Linked DNA regions of Caenorhabditis elegans. The protein of the gene in region 1 interacts with the protein of each later gene in a pairwise test. Each region holds a gene or a part of one and is shown in the gene's direction. Other genes may lie near its edges.

Region 1 (7,295 bases):
AACCGTATCTTAGAGAAATCAATTTTTGGAATGAGAACCAGCATGGGTTCAGACCTACAAAATCAACGATCTCTAATCTGATGAATAGTTTGAATGACTGGACAAGCAACCTAGATCTGGGAGCCCAAATTGACGTCATATTTAGATTACAGCAAGGCATTTGACAGAATTCCCCACGACATTCTCCTCAATAAACTGATACGCCTGGGACTGAATAAACATATCATAGTCTGGATCAATAGTTTTCTAATAGAAAGGACATTTAGAGTTAAAATAGGAAATACACTATCTACTGTAAAAAACGCTAAATGTGGGGTTCCGCAAGGCGCTGTACTCTCACCAGTTCTTTTTGGAATTTACGTTAATGAGATCCCAACAATACTGCCCGCAAATGTTAAAGTGCAGCAGTTTGCAGATGACACCAAGCTGTATGTACACACGCCAAAAGGCGACCAGATTAATAGTCTGCAAGAAGCAATAGACAGAGTAGCAAATTGGTCCGTCAGTAACAAATTGGCTCTTAATGAACAAAAAAACCGTCCATCTCACGATAGGGAAAAAACGCCAAAATTTCACTTATAAGATAAACGGCCAGGATATCAAAAAAGAGTCAACGACACGTGACTTAGGTTTTATGATCTCTCATAATCTGGATTTTAGTGAACACTGGAAAAAGGCTATTAATTCCTCGAAATTTCAAATGTCACAAATTTTTAACCATTATAACAGTAACAAACCAAAGCTGATGATCCTATTATATAAAACATTTATTGTGCTTTTGCTAGAGTACGGAACCGTTATAAGTAGCCCACCAAAGCAGTCAGATATAGGAGCCATCGAGGCAGTTCAAAATTCGTTCACAAGGCGTCTATATAGTAGGACTGTAGGCAAATACGTCTCAATAAGTGATCCGGAATATAAAACCTCGACAGAAAGAAATGAATTATTTGGGCTCACACCGCTGCAAGGACGACGTCTGACAACCGATAAAAAAATGATTTTGAAAATGTTAAACGGTAAAATAGATCTGAAAGTACCTGAATTTTTTACCTTCTCGGACAACACTAGAACGCGTTGTAAAAGAAAGTTCTCTTGGAGCAGATGTAAATTTAAAATTAGGAAACATTTCTTCGTTAACAGAACATTAAGCCAACCGTCATTCCTCAAATTTTTATCTAATTTAAACAAGGATAACTAAGTTAGGAAACGAACGACATCTACTCTTGATCAATAACATTCATTCATTACTATCCTATGATATCTCCTGTTTTTTTATCCTACTCCTTCTCATGCTCTTTTTCTACGCCTCAGGTTCTTTCACTTTGCCCATAATCTCCCAGTCCACCCTCCGACATGAATCTTTGTATGTATCATCTTTTTTCTTTTCACGCTTCTTCAAGAACGTAATAAATTATTATTATTGTTATTATTAAATGACTACAAACATTCTGATTACATTTCCCTTTTTTTAAACATATCGCAGCATTTCTACGTTTAAATAATTCAATTAATTATTTTTAGCGTAACTGAGTATTTTAGTTTAACCACAAATTAAATCCCCTTTCAAATCGAACCCACAATTTTTCCAACCCAATTTGGATTTAGTCCGTGTGTTCGTGTGGGGTTCGCCAGTTGAACTGCTTCTCTAATTGCGATTATCGCCACCCGGCTTCAGAGTCCGTCCAAACTCGATTATAGCTTTCGCTCTCCACCGATCACTGAATTCGTTGCCGTTAAGTGTAGAAGCTCAGTTGAAGAATAAGAAGACGGAAAGAAGAAGCTGTCAAATAATCTAATTTACTTGACTCTCTCAAACCAATCCAAATCAAAAAGAAGGCGTGGCTACCTAGCTCTTCTGGCGGAAAGATGGGTACGGTGGTTGGGGCCGGTGGTGAAGGAGGAGGAGCAGCCGGAGGCGGACGGCGACCAGTCAGCTGCCCCTCTCTTCAGAAGCAACCCTGTCCGCCTCCACGACGACGTCGACAACGACTTCGGTCACCCCTCACTTTCCACATTTCTCCGCTTTCACTCACACAATGAGCGACAATCTGCTGAACGGTGCGAACGGAGCATCAACTGTCTCACAGGTAATTTGCTAACTAATTCTAGTCTCCGAGGCCCTCGACGCAAACGAAATAAACAGTAATACGATTTGGTGGCGCCGTCGGTCGTCGCCGAGAGCTCCATAATTAACTTTTCTGGCGCGCACAATATTCTTCGTCTCCTGAAGACGTTGTCGTTTTTCGGAAGACGACTGGGAGGAGTCCAAGTGTGTGTGTGTCTTCCCCTCATAAATTCATTATGGAAATTTGATTGTTAGATGCTCTCACGATCAGTGGCACACACACACACAAACCTCCTCAGTTGTCTTCCGGAGCTGGTATCGATAGCCTTCCAACTTTTCTCGCCTCCAATTTCCCTAGAATTATTGTTCAGCTCGCCATTTTAATTGATGTTAAAATCAAAATCACAGACTACCGTACCATGGACATCAATAATTTAATTCACAAGAAATAACTTTAGACATGGGTTTGAAAAAACTAAAAGTCCCACCACAAACACCGCTAAAGATCTGATCTTGGTGTGTTCAATCCTAAAGAAGCTAATGTTGGACGGGGTTCTAGATAATGATCATACAATACCTCGACACTGATGTCTGATTTTTTAGTCACAAAAAAGTTAAAAAACCAACTGTATTAGTTTATATTAGTTTGTAAGTGGAACCGAACATTTTGAAAAATAGATCTTAAGCCGGTAGAATCTCTGCTGAAAAACTGTTAAGTCACTGAATTTTTATTAGTCTTCTTGGCGTTATGTTTTACTTTAAAGTTCTAGTGTTACTGTGGATTTCCTTATTACCGTCCTTCCATTAATCGATTCCAACAGATTCCTCAATTCACCTTACATTAGTATAAAAACGTTCTACTGGAACCTACATCATGATCTATATTTTCAGTTCCAAGAAAAAGTGAAAGATCTTGGAGTATCTCTTCACGATTTCACTGCCTACTATCCGAGCTCTTTGGATACAGTCTCGGCAAGTCTTCGTCCAATTTCGGATCCATCATCAGGTTAGTCTCTACATTCCATCTTCTTTTTTTCTACACTGGTAGGGAGGAGCTTCGCTTTAGCAAGGCGAACAAAATTACATCAGAATATATCAGATTTGCGGAATCATATTTGATGTCTCTCCTTCGTCGTCCGCATGCCAGTTCATTCCTTGCATCAGTGCCTTCTAGGTTGAGCAAAAGGTCCTTCTGACCCTGAGCTTCTCTTATTATTTCGTTTGATATTCTCACCTATCCCAAGATTCAGCAAAAACCACTTCAAGTGTTTTCTTTATTAGTGTTGCGCAATAGCTTCCGCCAAAGGTATCATGCTGTGTTAGTACAACTGATACCCTTACCATGTCCCCCCGCCTTGCTCTTCCCCTCCTCAATGGTACTTCACATCTCTGGAGCATGTGCCACCGAGCCAATTATGACGCCTGTTGCCAGATGCTCACTCTTATCCATCCGTTCTATTGTATCCACTAGTCTTGACTTTGTGCGCGAAGTGTCTCTCTTCTTATTTACTATTTTAGTACTTGTGTGAGCAGATTTAGGAATTAACAACTCAATCTAACAATGTATTATTATGGTAAGACAATGTAGAGAAGGGTGTCATATTTCTTTGATTATTCCTTGCAATTCACACTAAGAATTTCGAAATTCTGCATTCCTCCGAACATCTGCCCACTTTCCATTTTTAAGCCTTAAAACTGGTGATGTTGCAGATGGCGCCTTCAAAAAGATTAAAACCGAAGGACTCGGTGGCTCGGTATTTGGATCTTCGATTGCTGGGGTCACGAACACGCCTGCAAGGTGAGTATTCTTAATATTTTGGAAGATAGGGGTACGGTAGATGTAGAAGGGATTTGATGTATGTAGGTATTCAATGTCAAAATAAGGCAGTTATCTAGATTTCATTTATTGAAACTACTCCAAAAACCCAGTTTTTTAAAAGTAAATTTGGCTATTTACCAAACCCTTGACAAAATATGTTTGCGTTTATTATTTTTTTGGCCACTATTTGGCCAAATTTAAAAATTTAGAAAGCCAAATATAATTATACAACTTGAAAGAGCCAAAATTTGACTTGTGCCGCCTATATTTTCATATCTTCAATTTCTATCAATAGTCAAGTTAATTTTCAACAAACTCTACCGTACTTCTCACGTATTTTCTTGCCTTCCCCCACCCACCTAGTGCTCCACGGCCTTTCTTAATTGCAGGCTGTGTAGCCTAGAACGGCCCGAATCAGAGCGTCTCAATTCCAGGCGGAGACATCGGACGACATTCACTCAGGAACAACTTCAGGAGCTTGATGCTGCATTCCAAAAGAGTCACTATCCGGATATCTACGTTCGAGAGGAATTGGCAAGGATCACCAAGTTGAATGAAGCTCGAATACAGGTGAGCTTCGAAATTAAACTGTATGCTCAATTTGTGAGACATGTGCTCTAATTTGTTGTTTCTTTCTCTTCTTCATATTCTTTATCTTCTTCCTCACTTCTTATTGGTATTCATCTCGCGTTAATTGCTGCCTTTGGATAGTTGTCTACCACCTCCTGGTCACCTACTGTGCGCTAAATCCACCACGCACCATCACACATCTGGTAGGGATTAGATATTGAGCTTGTGAAGCTGAGAAGAACAAATTGAGACAAAAAAGTCAATCTGCCATAATAGGGAACTTATACAACTTTTAAAATTAAAAATTAACATAGATGTACAGAAATAATATATAATTGATTAAAAACCATCTTGAAAAGTTTGATGAAGGAATTTCTTTGAAGTATCCGTTTGTAGAGAAAAGAATGCACACATATTTGGTAAACGACAATGTTCAGCCGGTAATAGTTTTTTGGATTGTTCAACTAAATTGAATATAATTTTCGAATTAATCTGATTTTTTTCTGCGTTTCGAGCTTTATTTCTTAGTGCTGAAAAGATGGGTTATCGTTCCTAAATTGACGGTTTTGTGGAATTACCAATAATGTTTTCAGCACATCTTTGACTTCAAATAAGCTTCTATTTTTTGGTGATTAAGCTTTCAGTTCTGACTGTTTTCTTTGCGATCTACTGATGTAAGTTATCTTTTGCTATTTATAAAGTTCTCTGAACTTTTTTCTATTTATAGAGTTCTCTGAACTTTCTAATAAAACAAATAAAACTTTGCCTAGATTCAATGATACATGCTTAAAACTTCTCACCCTTTCTGATTTTTTTCATTGTCTACCTACTTCCATATCCGTCATACGGTATCCTTTTTTTTTAAATATTCATAATAATAATAATAACAACTCAAAACTAGTGCCTTTGAATCTCTAAAACTCTTGTTCAAAAGAAACTCTCTATCACCAGTCTACCGTAACCCATCGTCTTCTTCTCTTCCAACATCGGCGTCTTTGTTAGGAGGCAAGCAAATTGAATTATGCTCTGCCTTTGCCGCTTTCTCAATATCCTTCCTCACCACAGCTTTTCCCTTATTCTTGAGCAGTCTATCAACATTTAGAAATACAGAAAAAGGAAATGAAGGGACTTGATAAAAAGAAAAGAGAGTGTAGCGAGGAACAGAAAAGGAAAGGAAGGATTAAAGATCCGGAGACAGTAATACTTTATGACGTGACTTTTAAAAACTTTCTTTGGTTGGATTGTGTGGGTATTAAGATACTTTTGAACTTTGTAGAATCTGAAATAAATACTCCAATTATTTGTTTACATACAATCTTGTAGAATTTGGTTGTCGTATATACCCAACAGTATACATTATTTTAATACTAAATTGCGTTTTTAATTAATTACTAAATTGCGCCAAAATCACATTTATTCATTTTTCCCTGATAATTTTAAATACAATGTTTAACGTAGAATTATAAATTTAAATACATTTCTGACTCCAATTCGTAAAATTAAAAAAACAATGACACACTAATGTATTACTAGATATCTTGTTTCTAGATGTAAGGATTTCAGGATTACTGTAGCGTATTCACACTTCCTTTACTTATTGCGTAACAGTTTTGCCACCTGGCTGTCTCTACTCCATCCCTCTAGATCTGACTTGATCATACTCATACTCCCCACTAATTTCTCGAGTAATCCAATTTTGTTTGCAGGTGTGGTTCCAAAATCGGCGAGCAAAACATCGGAAGCATGAAAAACAATTGAATAAGGTAGGAAGATGACGAATATATTCTGAATTCATCAAAAAAGTTATTTACAGGCAATCAATCCCCCGCACTCATTCCTATCCAATCCAGCGAATACTTTGATGCGACAAGGAATGTACCCAGCTGCATTGAATCGTGACGGTTTTTGGTATCAATCATATCAACGACCAATGCCATACCCAACAGCTTCTCCTTCATATTCCAACTCGTTCACTAATCCCATTGCAAAGTTTGTTCGTCTTTTTACTGTGGGATAAATATTTCGTTAATTTCAGTTTCGGTCATTCCATCACCTCTTTCCAAGCTGACGACGAGTTCTACCAGAAAAGTTTGGCACTTCGAATGACGACGACACCATCGGCCGCTACAGCTGCTACCTCACTTGCTAATATTAACTACCAGCAGACACAACCATCTGAAGCTAGTACCAACCCTCCTTCAATCTAGTCATTAACATTACAACCAGACATTTCTAATCTCCAAAGTTAACAGAAAATCCAATAATTTATGATTGCGTGTGAAATCAATTGAACAAATAATAAAGAGATCTCACTGATAGACTAATGTTGGTACGTACATTTACAAAAAGACAACGGTTTCCAATAAAAATGTTGAGAAATATCACAAAGGAGTGGGAAGTCTACGAAATGGAATGTTTAACGCGACTGATGATAAATACAATCTTACAAAACTTATCTGCCTTCTTCCTGTATTAAATATCCGGATCCTTTCCCGTTCCGCGTGTCACAAAATCACTTCTATTTGGTTTTGTCTTGTTAGAGAAATTTTGAGTAAACACCAAAAAAAAATGATTTTCGTATTTTATGTGGTTACCAGCCGCTGACCGCGCCTACGGCGCGGCCAACTCGTTCTCAGCACACTGCATTCAGTAGCGTACTCGTTCTCAGCACACTGCATTCAGTAGTTCTGGTATTGTTATCACAAAACATAATAAATAAAAATGACATGAACCGCCCATTTTAAAAGGAATTTTTTTGTTTCCATTAGGGAACAAGATAAATTCTTAATAGAATTTGGTGGCGGTGAATCGTTGTGGACAATCTTAGTCGTGATTCTATGA
Region 2 (5,259 bases), on another chromosome or scaffold:
TGAAATTTTATCTTTTGGGGCCATTTCACTACCTTATCAGGAAGAAATGTGTTTCATCAGAAATTGAATTTTTCATCTTTTCAGAAAGTGTACCTAATACCGTATCATGCTCATATTCACGTGAATAAGGCTTCTGCCCAGTTCTGTGATTCAAGGAAAACTACGAAAAATGATCTCATTTTCTTTGATTTATCACCGAGCTGGTGTGTCATCACACACAGTCTGTTTCTTGATAAAAACGCGCAGAAGTTAGAGCATTCATTGTGATTTTGGGTCTTTAATTTCTGTAAAACAAATAAAGTGACAAGTTTATCATCTGCCTATTTTATCAGTTATATGCATGGTTAGTTGCAAATAAGGGAGTAGAAATTGACTAAAACTCAAAATGAGCACTGAAACGAGGGGTTTTGTTAGTTGCGAAATAACAATTAATACAATCTGGTTGATTACTTTGTAAAAGGATAATAAAATATGCAAAACTTGGCGTATTCTGAGATTTCATTCCTAAAGACATTTATCAAAACAAATGTTTTCTGCAATTTTCTAAATTCTTGGAATTCTGCCCAGCAGCCTCTAATATCGCGTTTTACTTAGAAAATGACTTTTGGTTTCATTTTCTCATTTTCTGGCTTCTATTTTTCACAAATGCAAATATTTACATTTAAATTAGTACTTTCATTTCTACAAAGATCAAATTTAACATTATTGACAGGTTTACTGTTATCTTGTGACAGTTCCGTACTGTCAATCAAAACGAAAATTAAAACTCATGAAATATCAATGAACATAAATTGAAAAAAAAACCCAGTTGAAAGGAGAAAATAAGCGAAACACACCAACAACTGAGTAGTTACGCTCACAATTTGGAAATGATTTTGAAAACTCTCTGGACTGCATTTCAATTTTTAACAAACAATGAATACATACTGATAGTTTTTGTACTTCTCGGCATTCAGAGGCAACTTCCTGCCAACAACCTGGCAACTTATTTAGTGCCACTAAAATAAGTTGCCAAATTGTTGGCAGGAAGTTGCCTCCAAATGCCGAGTTGGAGCAAATGATTCGATATGATTTTAAGGATACCTACGCATGCCTCCTGCCAAGACACGCACCCACCTACTGAAATGTCGCGGAATTTTACCTCCCAAACTATAGATTGGGTGAAACTTCACTGTAAAAGCTTTTTTTAAGTAGTAGGCTGGCAGTAATGAAGACGTCCATACCATAATTTTTAATGTTGTATAGAAAATCTGAATTCTCAAGTATAACATTTTCCAATAATTAGCATAGTCAGAAACTCTCCACCGCCGTTCCGTTCCTTTTTTTTGTAACTATGGAGTAATAGAACAAGATTATTCAAATTCAAATTTTTATAAAACTTTACAACGTCCTTTCCATATATTCTTCACACAACATTTGAAAAAACAACAAATTCATTCGAAATGCATTGCCCATAATGAATCGACCGAAAAACACAAGTGACCGTCAGGAGATCGATAGAGAGAGCCCGTTCCAACTAGACAACTTTTTAGTGCTTATCCTTACACACACTTTCTAGCTTCATAAGAAATGCATCTATTATCGTCACCATTTGGAGACACCAGTTTTAGCGCACATTAATAATCGATCAGGGTCTAGAGACTCCTGTTGGATTGGCATGCCACGCCTACATGACATCTGGCTCTTGACGGGTGATTTGTTACAGTGAGTAGCCACAATTTCGCGCATTTTCTTCTAAATTTCACTGTTATTTGTTCTTCTGATTTATTTCATTTGAACTATGGAAATGTTAGAGTCAAAGCCTCTCAGTGCGATTAGTATGGTTATTGATTCAATTGGAGTTGATCATGAAAATCAGGTGAGTAATTAAACTTGAGCAGTTGTGAATTTCATCAGAAAACAATTTTTCTTTAAAAAAATTTAAAAGTAACAATTTGAGAGTCAGAAAAATGAAATTAACATCAATCGAAAACTTACATTGCATTTGCTTGAAAGTTTTTACAAAGACTTCTGCGTGTCAAGAAATTCCAATTTGAAATTTATACAAAATCCGCACGAGGGAAAATTTCTGTTCGACTTTCAGAGAGTCAAGTAAAATTACCGCATCTTCTAAAAATTCTGAAAGTTAGATTCTGAAAGTCAATCGTGTAAACTTTTGGTTGGTATTCATTCTATTTTCCAATCTCATTTTATCGATACGATCTCTAGTGAAACTTGTGTCTAACATTCTATAATTTTTTTAAATATTTCTAGAACAAATGTAATTGCTGCAATGAGCAAATTTATGATCGTTATATTTATCGAGTAAGTTTGCTGATGTTTGTGGATTTTTCAAACTTTCTTTGCTTTGCTTCTGTAAACAGTCTGCTCAAAATCTTGAATATTTTTCTTTTGCTTCTATAGTTCGAACAACATTTCAAGATTTCAGCCATCATTTATTTTCAGATGGACAATCGATCGTATCACGAAAATTGTGTCAAATGTACAATATGTGAGTCTCCTCTGGCCGAAAAGTGTTTTTGGAAAAATGGGAGAATTTATTGTAGTCAACATTATTATAAGTAAGCTTTAGCAAAATATTCTTGGAATTAATAAAAATACATTATTTCAGGGATCACAGTATTCATCGGTGTGCGGGTTGCAAGAAAGGAGTGTCACCGACAGATATGGTATATAAACTGAAGGTATTAAATTGGGTCAGAATGTTTAAGAAAACATTAAACTTTGAGCGAACCTATACAAAAAGTTGTCAACTTTTTATCAATTAAATTTTTGACTACTTTTGTATAAACAGTAGGAATGCCCGAAAGATTTCAAAAAGCCTACAATTTCAAATTAAAAAAAAAACCAAAGCTTTGACTAATAGTTTTGAAAGATGTAATCATTTTTTACGCTTTGCTCTTTGCTCTGACGGGATCCTGCTAGACGCACAAGCATAGAGCTTGGGGCTTTGATCGGTAAAGTTTGACTCAAAGAACTTTACAGGCTGGGCTCGTGTTCCATGTGGAATGTCATTGTTGCTCTTTGTGTGGACGGCATTTATCACCGGGGGAACAAATTCTTGTTGACGATACAATGATGACCGTATCCTGTATGTCACATTATCCTCCTCAAATGGATGACAACGCACCTGGAGCAATAGGATCTGCAGTTGATATACCATCTTGTTCGACAGAAAATCCAATTGCCCCATATCCAATTGATGAATCTTTTTCATCAGCTTTCCAAGTTAAAAAGGTATACTTTATTTTTCGTTGAAAGTTTAAAGGGATTAAATACCGAATAATGTACTGCATATTTAATTTTTAGGAGGTTGACGCTTATGGATACAACTTTGAGCATTATAGCTTTTCCGATTTCTGTGATGATGATTCACGAATGCTAAAAAGACGCGGACCTAGAACGACAATCAAACAAAATCAGGTATACAATGTAAGAAAGCGGAAATTTTCATAATGATTTTCAGTTGGACGTGCTGAATGAAATGTTCTCGAATACACCAAAGCCGTCGAAACATGCTCGAGCCAAATTGGCATTGGAGACCGGTTTAAGCATGAGAGTAATTCAGGTTTGGTTCCAAAACCGGAGAAGTAAGGAACGGAGGCTCAAACATTTGTGCAATTACTTGAGACATTATGAGCAACGTGGGCTCATTCCTCCGCCAATTCATTTTAGAAATGGTTAGTTTAAAGATTCAATCTGGAAAACGCAGTAATAGCTCTGAAATTTCAAAAAATAGATAGTGACTAGTAAACATTTTAACAAGTTGTTTTGTTGCATAAACATTAAGTTTGACACTAAAACTTTTCAAATCGGACTTTGTTCATAACTCAGATCCGAAATCTCTAAGCAAATAATTTATATAGATGAAAAAAAACTACCTTCTTTCGTGGCGATAAGTGCCTGTTTCGTGCCTACACATATGCCTACCTACTGTCTTAAAGCATGCGTAAATCTATTCCGTTCACTGAAATTCCGGCTATAACTGAAAACTCCATTAAAACTCCATAAAACAGGCAATAGATAGGCGCTTAGGCAGGGAAACATGTCTCACGTTTCTCTAATTTTCTGTATTTAAAGTTTCTCAATCATTCATTTTTGATTGTTCAAATCTATTTTCATAGAATTTTTTCTTCGAATTTCATGATGTTTAATTATTGAGTAGTTTCCCTATAATTATATATAACGCGTTTCCAATTATTGTCTGTTGTCTTGTTCGAAAATCTAAGCAACACTGATGTGGCAGTACACCAGAATACGCACAGAAAGCAAAAATCCAGAAAAGTTTGAGTTGCCACGTCATAAATCACAAACCAAATGGCTTGGCTCTTTCGAACTTTTTGCTGCTCTTGCATTCTTGTTTTTTTTTATTCTCTTTTTTCATTTCAGAAGAAATGGACACAACTGACTTCAACGCGTTTTGCGGAAATTTCGAAGAGGAAGATGATGAAGATTGATGAAGATTTTTTTAATTTTTAAAACAATATATTCCATTTATATATATATATTTCATAATGTATTTTCCTTCCCAAATCTTGAATTTCATTACATGTTTGCCAAAACTTGTGTTCTGAACTTGTTCAAATATTCACGTTTGCGCGAATAAGTAATTGAATGTCAGTCGATAATCTGATCTCAATGATTCCATTTTTAATTGTCCATGAATCATAAAATCACGAAATCTTAAAAATTCTCACACTTTGTCTCGATTCAAAAATAATCCTAAATGCTACGTTTTTGTGTTGGGTTTGTTGGTTTAAAAACGAGAAAATTTTCAATTATTCCGTCACCTTGATTGAAATAAGATTTGTTTTCCTCGTAAAAGAAAACGGTTCAACTAGCTGGTTTTCAAAAGATTTTCGAACCCTTGTAAAAGACTTATGTAACTCTATAATTAATGTTTCCGTCAAAGAATTGTGTAAATTGTATAAAAATAGTTTTAAAAATTAATGGAGGAAACTTCTTGAAAATTCAGCATTAAAATATAGTAGGTGTGTTTTTTTGTCAACGCCTTCGTGATACCTATTCCAATAACTAAATAGGTTTTTGCTACGGGTTGTAGTTCCTCGGAAAAAGAAACAATTTAATTTACTGAGCTAAGTGAACTATTTCCTCGCAACTTCCACACTTTTTCTTTCCTTCCCCAGAACGAGAAAATATTAGTTTTACCTGTAATTACTAGCTTATTTTCCAACATCTAAAACCAGCCCCCTTGAAGTACAATTAGCCAATGACGCACACGTTTGAGACTTTCAGATC
Region 3 (7,191 bases), on another chromosome or scaffold:
GCTTTTCGACTCTAAATATTATTAAATATTGCAAAAGTTTCATTATGATACTTAGACGTTTTAGCACAAAAGGCGTGGTTTTGAACCATTTCACTAAGTCCAAAAACTAAAAATCGCAACAATTGTAATATGCTAATACATATATGAATAGGAGCATTCTCTATTTGAATGTCTAATTGATGCAAATATGTGGACCATAAAAGTATGTTCCTAGGTTCTTCAAACATTCTTTCCAATACCTGTTAGTCCTGCTAAAATTGAAAACTTCTAAAAAATGTTCATTTCCATTTCCCTTTTTTCTCATATGTTCCTCCTACTTGCCCACCTAGACCTCTTGTCACTTTGCGTTCACCTGTCTGTCTTTTGATGTAGTATATGGAACAGTTTTCTTATCCATTCGCTATATCTCCATTACCTTACTCGCCTCTTGTTTCTTTTCTCTCGGAGATATATACCAGATAGACATTTGGCGGGAAAAGGCAAGATGTGCTATGATAGCTACTGATTATGTAGCCGTCAAGAAAAGGAACGCGACCTGTACGCGGGAGGAGGTGAATCCTTATTATACGAGCGCCTGGACACACGGCCAAGGCCAATCCCTGTTCGTGCCGAGAATCTCAACGGGGTAAGATTCACACTCTTATCCGTCACCGCTCTACAATTACTGTAGTTGCTGCGGCGTGTGTAGGCCCAAAAAAATAATACAGATAGATAGAAACTCAACAGTCATACTCAACATTTTCAAAATTTTGGTAGTGTGTGCCCAATTAAAATAGCACATTGAATAGAGATAGTTGAACTTGTTGATGCGGATCGAGAAAACCGGCCTCAAAGCATTGTGTGATTATGGGGTCGAATGGCAGTCAGAAGAGAGGGGGAGCGGGAGCGAGAGAGAGACAAAAATTCGAATATAATAGCGATGTTGGATAGTTTATTCTAGCATTGCGCAACCCGAATCAATTTTACAAAACTGGTTTTGTTGTGGTCGTCCAATAAGAAAAAAGAACACGAGAATCGAAGATGCGCGCAATCCTCAACTCAAGCAATCATGCTGTCTATGGTTTGAGGGCTTTTTTGGTGTATCCCTCGCGTCATTCTATTTTTTTTTGGGTCAGCCGTGTTTGGTAGAAGTTTCCCAACTGTTATTCGCTTGTGTTCTATACTAAAAAAAAGCTTGAACAGCTTGCCCACATCTGTTCCTAAGAGCATCGTGCTTCTATCTAAGACTCGCTTCCAACTTTTTTTTTTCAAAATTGAGAAAGCTAATCAACTCGCAATTGCTAGCCAAAATTGTTGCCACTTACTATCCCGACTGTGCTTGATGCCATTCCCCTCACCCCGTGCGTCCCGTCGCTCACTATCTCTATTCTGCATGGTATGCCCCGCCTCCAAAAATCGGGTAGGCGGGGGGAGTCATAGCCTTCAGCTCGTTCTTGCACTACTGCTTGCCATTTTGTTAGTCCAAGAGCACAGGTCACCGGATTACTGTAGTATTCATTTTAAGATTGCAGAAGCCGTGTGACAAATTTCGATTTTGAATGTTCTGTTATTTTCTCACTTCCTCCTCTCGAGCACTCTTACCTTCCCCGCCATACTTGAGCTACTGTAATGCATTGTCCAATCGCTGCTATGTATGCTTTTTCGCTACTTTTAAACAGTATCAAGTGAGGGTGTAAATACCTGGTTGGTGTCAGCCGGCGACGACCTTCTTGTCTCCGGAGAGAAGAGCTGCGTCTGAATACCTTTTCGAGTGTTGTACGCAAAACTTTTCAAGTAGTGGAGGTCTTGGTAGCCCATCCTACTTGTTCATCTATGAGCGCTCTTTCATTCAAACTGTCCACCGTTTTTTTCTTCTTCCTTGTTAGTGTTTCCTTTCAAATTCGATTTTGTGAAAATTTCAGCACCATTTTCTAAAAGCTTCATCAAATAACAAAAACATTTTTAGACAATGCCCTATCGTGCAGAGCTAAAACGTCCCGATTTGAAAGGCTCATTTCCCTGCTCGATTTGCCAAAAAGTATTCTGCCACAGTTCGTCTCTGAGTCGTCACCGGATGCAGGCTCACTTTAAAAGCTACACCTGTACCACTTGCAACAACGAAATTCCAAGTAAGTTTGAAAATGCAAGTTTGAGAAAAAAAAGAGAAATAGATGAATCAGAGTAGCAGGAGCTTGACTAACAATAGGGGAGAAAGAGCGAAACAATTTATGCCGCTATTGATGTTTTCACAGTTTTGTATCATGTTTTATCATATGATAATAAGAAAAAAGAGAGGGAAACTTAACTCGAGAACATAGCTATTGTTGAATTGTACGGAACTTATTCTATTGAAAATTTAAAATTGATCTAAAAATCTAAAAATAAAAAATTATGGGTTCTAGGTGATGTTTAACTTTCTAATTTATTTTTTCAAAATTGAATTAAAATTCTGAACGAATGTTCTATTTCCTGCTGCATTTAGTTTCTGTCTTCTACCAGTTTATTGCATTTCTACATTTTTCTAATCTCCCTCCCAATACATTTATTTGATCGGAAGTCTCCATAATCTGAAATGCGCGAAAGCTCAGTGGCATTGTTTACTGACAAGCTTAAACTCAACTCACACCCTCCGATTAGCACGTGGCTATATTGGGCATGTGTCAAACAAGGTTGATACAGTCTCCTTCTTTCCGCCAAAAAATTACATTGGTTATCTAAATATTGACACCCTTTCCAACTACTACTGTATTCTTAATTGTAGACATCTATATGGCATGGCAAACTGAATGAGGAGGTGTGCAAATACCGAGATAGCTCCGACTGTCAATTAGGAGTATCTATTTAGTAATATCTGTTAAGCTTTTAAAACAACCATGTGCACTTTTGGACTAGTAGCAAAAAGTTTAAAGGTGGAGTAGTGCCAGTGGGGAAATGGTTAACATCCACTTATATAGAGCCAAAATGACCAACATTATTGACAGTCAAAAAGTGGCAATAACTGTGTTCTTGCCACTTTTCGAGAAAACTATAGCAATGCCGCATGTTCGGATCTCTACAATGTTTGAATATTTATATTTGAAAAATATGTAGGCGACTGTTTATCGACGACTTTCAAAAAAGTAATTACCAATTTTAAAAACAAAATTAAAAATTTCAAAAAATTTTTGTAGCGTCGTTTGGCAAATTCGGCGTTATTTTTTTTCAATTTCCCACTGGAGCGTCTCCAGCTATAATGGAAAGCAGTATCATGTATTAAATAATAACAAATTGACTCTAATATTTGTGCAAGAATCTTTTGAAAAGACACCTCTGACCATATTACGCCACAGTTTTACAATAACACGTCTGCTATTTGCATTGTCTAATTGCCCCATCTTTCCATCCCGAGCGGCTTCCTAAGAGAGCGAGAGGCATAAATAACCGACGGTATGTATGTATTACTTAATGGTTTCTTTTCTTGGAATGGAAGGTAGGATGAACCTCCAAGGTCAGTCATTTGATGACCATCCATCAGCTAATTGTTGGCACGCCACTGTCGCTAAGTGAGCTTGAGAGCGAAGAATAGGGCCAGCGCGCGGGCAAAGTAAAAAAAAAACCACCGATTGTCTTCTTTCCCCATCTTCCGCAACAAAAATTGCAACCTCTTCTTTTTCTACCACCTTTCCAACATTACAATTTATTGGTTGTTCACTCGCCGTCAATCATTTGTTACGGTTCGCTGAGCATGGGGGTCGTTCAAGAAACTTTCGGCCAAAGCACCCAGCTTTTTTCACACCTTACTTCACCGCTCGCCTATACGTGGAATCCATACGGCGGCATGTTAGCAGGCAGATCAACAGGATTTGTTATATTACTCGTGCGCAATCCAACAATAAGCGGATCAACCAGTAGAATACCGAAACATAACATGAAAATGTTTTACAGCCTGACCCCTGCGTTTGTCGTTTTTTTTTGTGTTACTGCTTTGTCGGTAGGCAAGATCCGCTATTCTATAGATTTTCTATAGTGCGTATTTTCAAATTCAGACAAACATGCAAATGAGGGGGGTCGTCGTAGAACATTCGTCACATTGGCACCTAACATGCCTTTACGGGCGCGCGTATAGTGTCCCAATGTTGCGAATTTCATTTGATTGATAGACAGTTAGGCTCGGTGGCACAAAGAATGGCAATTAAGTGGAATATGGAAATAGCAATGCAGTTGGGGTTGGCAAATAGCCATTTACATGTTACTTTCGACAAATATTTAGATCATTGAGACATGAATTCAAAAGCTGGAGAAGGGTTCAAATAGTATTTGATAATTACCATAATAAAATGAGTGCGAAATGAGCCGGCACTGCTCTCACTGTTCAGTCATTAGGAAACCTTAAGAAACAATTTTGCAGGCAACGATACACTACGCAGTCACATGTATCGAGTACACAACATTACCCGAATGTTTATGTGTCGGTGTTGCAATTGGGCTTTTCCCGACAAAACAAGTCTTCACATCCATATGCAGAGTATGCTGAAAAATGGGACACCGGGGGAAGCGGCTGTTTTAGCTAAGAGTTCAGATGGTAAAGATCTACCCACAAATTTTGAAATCCATTAATACAAATTTGCAGTTGTAGATAGCACATCCGAGTCGGGCTCCCCGCGTCAGTCTCCACCCTTCTCGCCTGATTTGTTGATGCAAAAGCGTATGTTACAAGTTGCTGCAAACAATAACAACATTGGATCCATTTTCCCGACACTGCTCAAAAGCCCCGACTCCAAATCGATGTTCCCCCTGGATCTTTCTAACATGGGTCCTTCACAGTTCCTCTCAGCGTGGCTTGCCAACAATCCCATCAACACGGCGGCCCTTAATCTGGCAGCGCAACAAACACCGTCCAAAGTACGTTACAACTCTTTGATGTTTTGAATTCAAATGTATTACATTTTAAGGATTCCATCCAGTCTTCTAATATTAGCGATTATGACGACTTAGAAGTGCAGACAACTGAAGAAGACATCAAATTTGAAGTGGAAAGCAGTGATGTCAGCCCTCGGTCAGTCATTGTCAAGACTGAACCAACTTTCAAAAGAGAACTGGAACACGATGCTGATATTGATGTGGAAGGCGATGATGTAAGGAAAACTTATTGAAATTTTGAGGAAAATTTGTTTTTCACCCCATTAAACTTTAATATGTCATATTATGAAACTTTCAAAATTTTCAGGGCGAACCACCATTGAAAATGACGATTGATGACAAAAACATCCACATTTCCCATGATCAGCCTTCTCCAACGGTTTCGGATTCTCACATCAGTGGTGGATCGTCTAGTCATTCGGGCGAAAGTTTGAAATGCTTTGATTGTCAGGTTAGGAAGTTGTCTTAAATGGTTTTGAATTATAATTTAAAATATGAAAAAAAAAAATAAAAAACCATCCATTTTGCGAGCGCTATGTGAAGAGAATCTGGGAATTAGGTACAGTACTTCTGGTGATATGATTAGTCTTTAGGTTAAGTTTGATAATCCAGTCATGGACTGCTCCACTTTCAAGTTCACGCTAGGTTTCAGCTGGTTAAAATCTCAGGGTCCTATAGCAAAACGGGTGCTTTCAATTGTGATGATAAATTTATGAAAACGGATTCGAGGTTTTTTGACACACTCGATTCCAAATATCACAAAAAATTTTCCTGAAGAATTGTATGTATTCCAATGCTTCACAAATTTAGGGGTGTCCTACAAGAAGCGCGCGCACTGTAAAAACTCGTGACCTGTAGTTCTTCAGCGGCCACCACTACCGACTGAGTTATCCCCCACCCACTGATATTTTTAATAATTTACATAAGTTTATGATGTTTCAGGTAGCCAGAGGGAAGCTTGTTGCAGTTGAGGACAAATGTCGTGCCTATGAAAAGACCATTAGAGAGTTGCAAGTTCAAGTGGATTTCCTCCGCAAAATTCAACCGAATCCGATGCCACCCGTGATGCTGCCTCCTCCGATGATGCCTATGCCATCTCCAGGGCCGAACAATCTATTTCAAAATCCTGCGATGAGAATGTTGTTGAACAATTTGATTCACATGAACCGTCCCTCAGTGGTTCCCTAGATCCAAACGATTTCAATTTCTTTATTTCCGATTTTGATGGTGTCATCAAATCTAGTTGAACCACGTAGTCATTTTCATTCCTTGTTTCTAATCAGCATTTTGAGCCATTGAAATACAACAATCCTTTGAGCAATTTCCGAAATACTCTGAATCAAAGAACCAACAGCTTTTAAAGCGGTTTTGGTTGGCTTTTAAACTAATTGTCGTTTATATCTTTGTACATAATGCCTATTCTCGTAGCTACTTCTTATCTTTGCATCCAAATATTTCAAACTTCCAAAAAAAATCAGAGTGCTCTCATTCCTGACAATTGTATTTACCGCAATCTTAGAAACTGGTGGACATTTTCCAAACAATCCGAATCTACTTTACTTTTTTGTTGCAATAGCTTCAATAAAACGTAGCCTTAAATGCACTCAGCGATTTACCTAGAACGTCCTTTACATTACTTCATTGTTCTAAATGTTTCCTTTTTTATTTCTTCTGGTCCTTTTCTTGACTTTTATAGCATTACCCTTTTTTCCCGCCTTGACTTTTTCCTTCCCTCAATGATTTCATTTCATTATATTTGTGATAAATAATTTTCAAAGTTCAAAATGCAGGAAGTAATAAGCCATACAAAAAACTAGCAAAAACGAAACTCTCACAAGATGATGTTATCCTCGCATAAAACATCATTTTGTTTGAATGCAAAACTGAACCCGTTTCAGAGGGTAATGTGCTTTCAGGTGAAGCGATGTGAAAATTCATTTTTACCTTTTCGACCCACTAGACGTCACAATCAGCATAGTGAAAGGTTGAGCATGATTCATTTCTGATTTCTTCCTGATGTACTCAGTCGATTGTCTAAAACTTCAGCTTCAAGAAATTTCGTACTAGTTGATTCCCTTTTTGCAGCTTTCGTTTTCTTACATCAAAACGAAAAATTGCTAGATGAAATACTTACGAACTTGTGTTTGGCTTCAATTGTTATTCAAAATTTCTCAGGAGTGTATTTAAAGTATTCTAAAACCATATAAAACTCCAAAAATAGTCAAATCTATGTTATTGCAGAATAGATGCTTAAAATATTTCTCGAAAATGAATTAATATTTAGATAATTTTTTGTGACTCTCCCTTGTCCAT

What was found.
Region 2: the proteins of unc-42 (region 1) and mec-3 interact in a two-hybrid assay, tested with the Caenorhabditis elegans proteins (one large-scale study listed by BioGRID).
Region 3: the proteins of unc-42 (region 1) and ham-2 interact in a two-hybrid assay, tested with the Caenorhabditis elegans proteins (one large-scale study listed by BioGRID).

What each region holds. Positions count from the first base shown.
Region 1 is NC_003283.11:9,764,011-9,771,305, reverse strand, and holds unc-42 (Homeobox protein unc-42), read left to right. Parts: upstream 1-1,949; 5' UTR 1,950-2,036; coding exon 2,037-2,087; intron 2,088-2,140; exon of another isoform or gene 2,141-2,278; intron 2,279-2,956; coding exon 2,957-3,071; intron 3,072-3,553; exon of another isoform or gene 3,554-3,626; coding exon of another isoform or gene 3,627-3,639; intron 3,640-3,775; coding exon 3,776-3,863; intron 3,864-4,273; coding exon 4,274-4,454; intron 4,455-6,160; coding exon 6,161-6,217; intron 6,218-6,267; coding exon 6,268-6,443; intron 6,444-6,489; coding exon 6,490-6,661; 3' UTR 6,662-6,772; downstream 6,773-7,295. UniProt on the Caenorhabditis elegans protein: Probable transcription factor. Required for initial outgrowth and pathfinding of axon growth cones along the ventral nerve cord (VNC).
Region 2 is NC_003282.8:10,458,288-10,463,546, reverse strand, and holds mec-3 (Mechanosensory protein 3), read left to right. Parts: upstream 1-1,679; 5' UTR 1,680-1,780; coding exon 1,781-1,858; intron 1,859-2,253; coding exon 2,254-2,304; intron 2,305-2,445; coding exon 2,446-2,561; intron 2,562-2,611; coding exon 2,612-2,684; intron 2,685-2,985; coding exon 2,986-3,237; intron 3,238-3,309; coding exon 3,310-3,423; intron 3,424-3,466; coding exon 3,467-3,680; intron 3,681-4,389; coding exon 4,390-4,457; 3' UTR 4,458-4,731; downstream 4,732-5,259. UniProt on the Caenorhabditis elegans protein: Transcription factor. Specifies differentiation of the set of six touch receptor neurons (TRNs).
Region 3 is NC_003284.9:4,552,746-4,559,936, forward strand, and holds ham-2 (Zinc finger protein ham-2), read left to right. Parts: upstream 1-1,939; 5' UTR 1,940-1,948; coding exon 1,949-2,108; intron 2,109-2,753; exon of another isoform or gene 2,754-2,897; intron 2,898-3,187; exon of another isoform or gene 3,188-3,629; intron 3,630-3,997; exon of another isoform or gene 3,998-4,136; intron 4,137-4,366; coding exon 4,367-4,540; intron 4,541-4,588; coding exon 4,589-4,860; intron 4,861-4,910; coding exon 4,911-5,093; intron 5,094-5,185; coding exon 5,186-5,329; intron 5,330-5,820; coding exon 5,821-6,066; 3' UTR 6,067-6,663; downstream 6,664-7,191. UniProt on the Caenorhabditis elegans protein: Probable transcription factor that acts downstream of egl-15, to promote migration of the HSN motor neurons from the tail to the gonad primordium during HSN cell differentiation.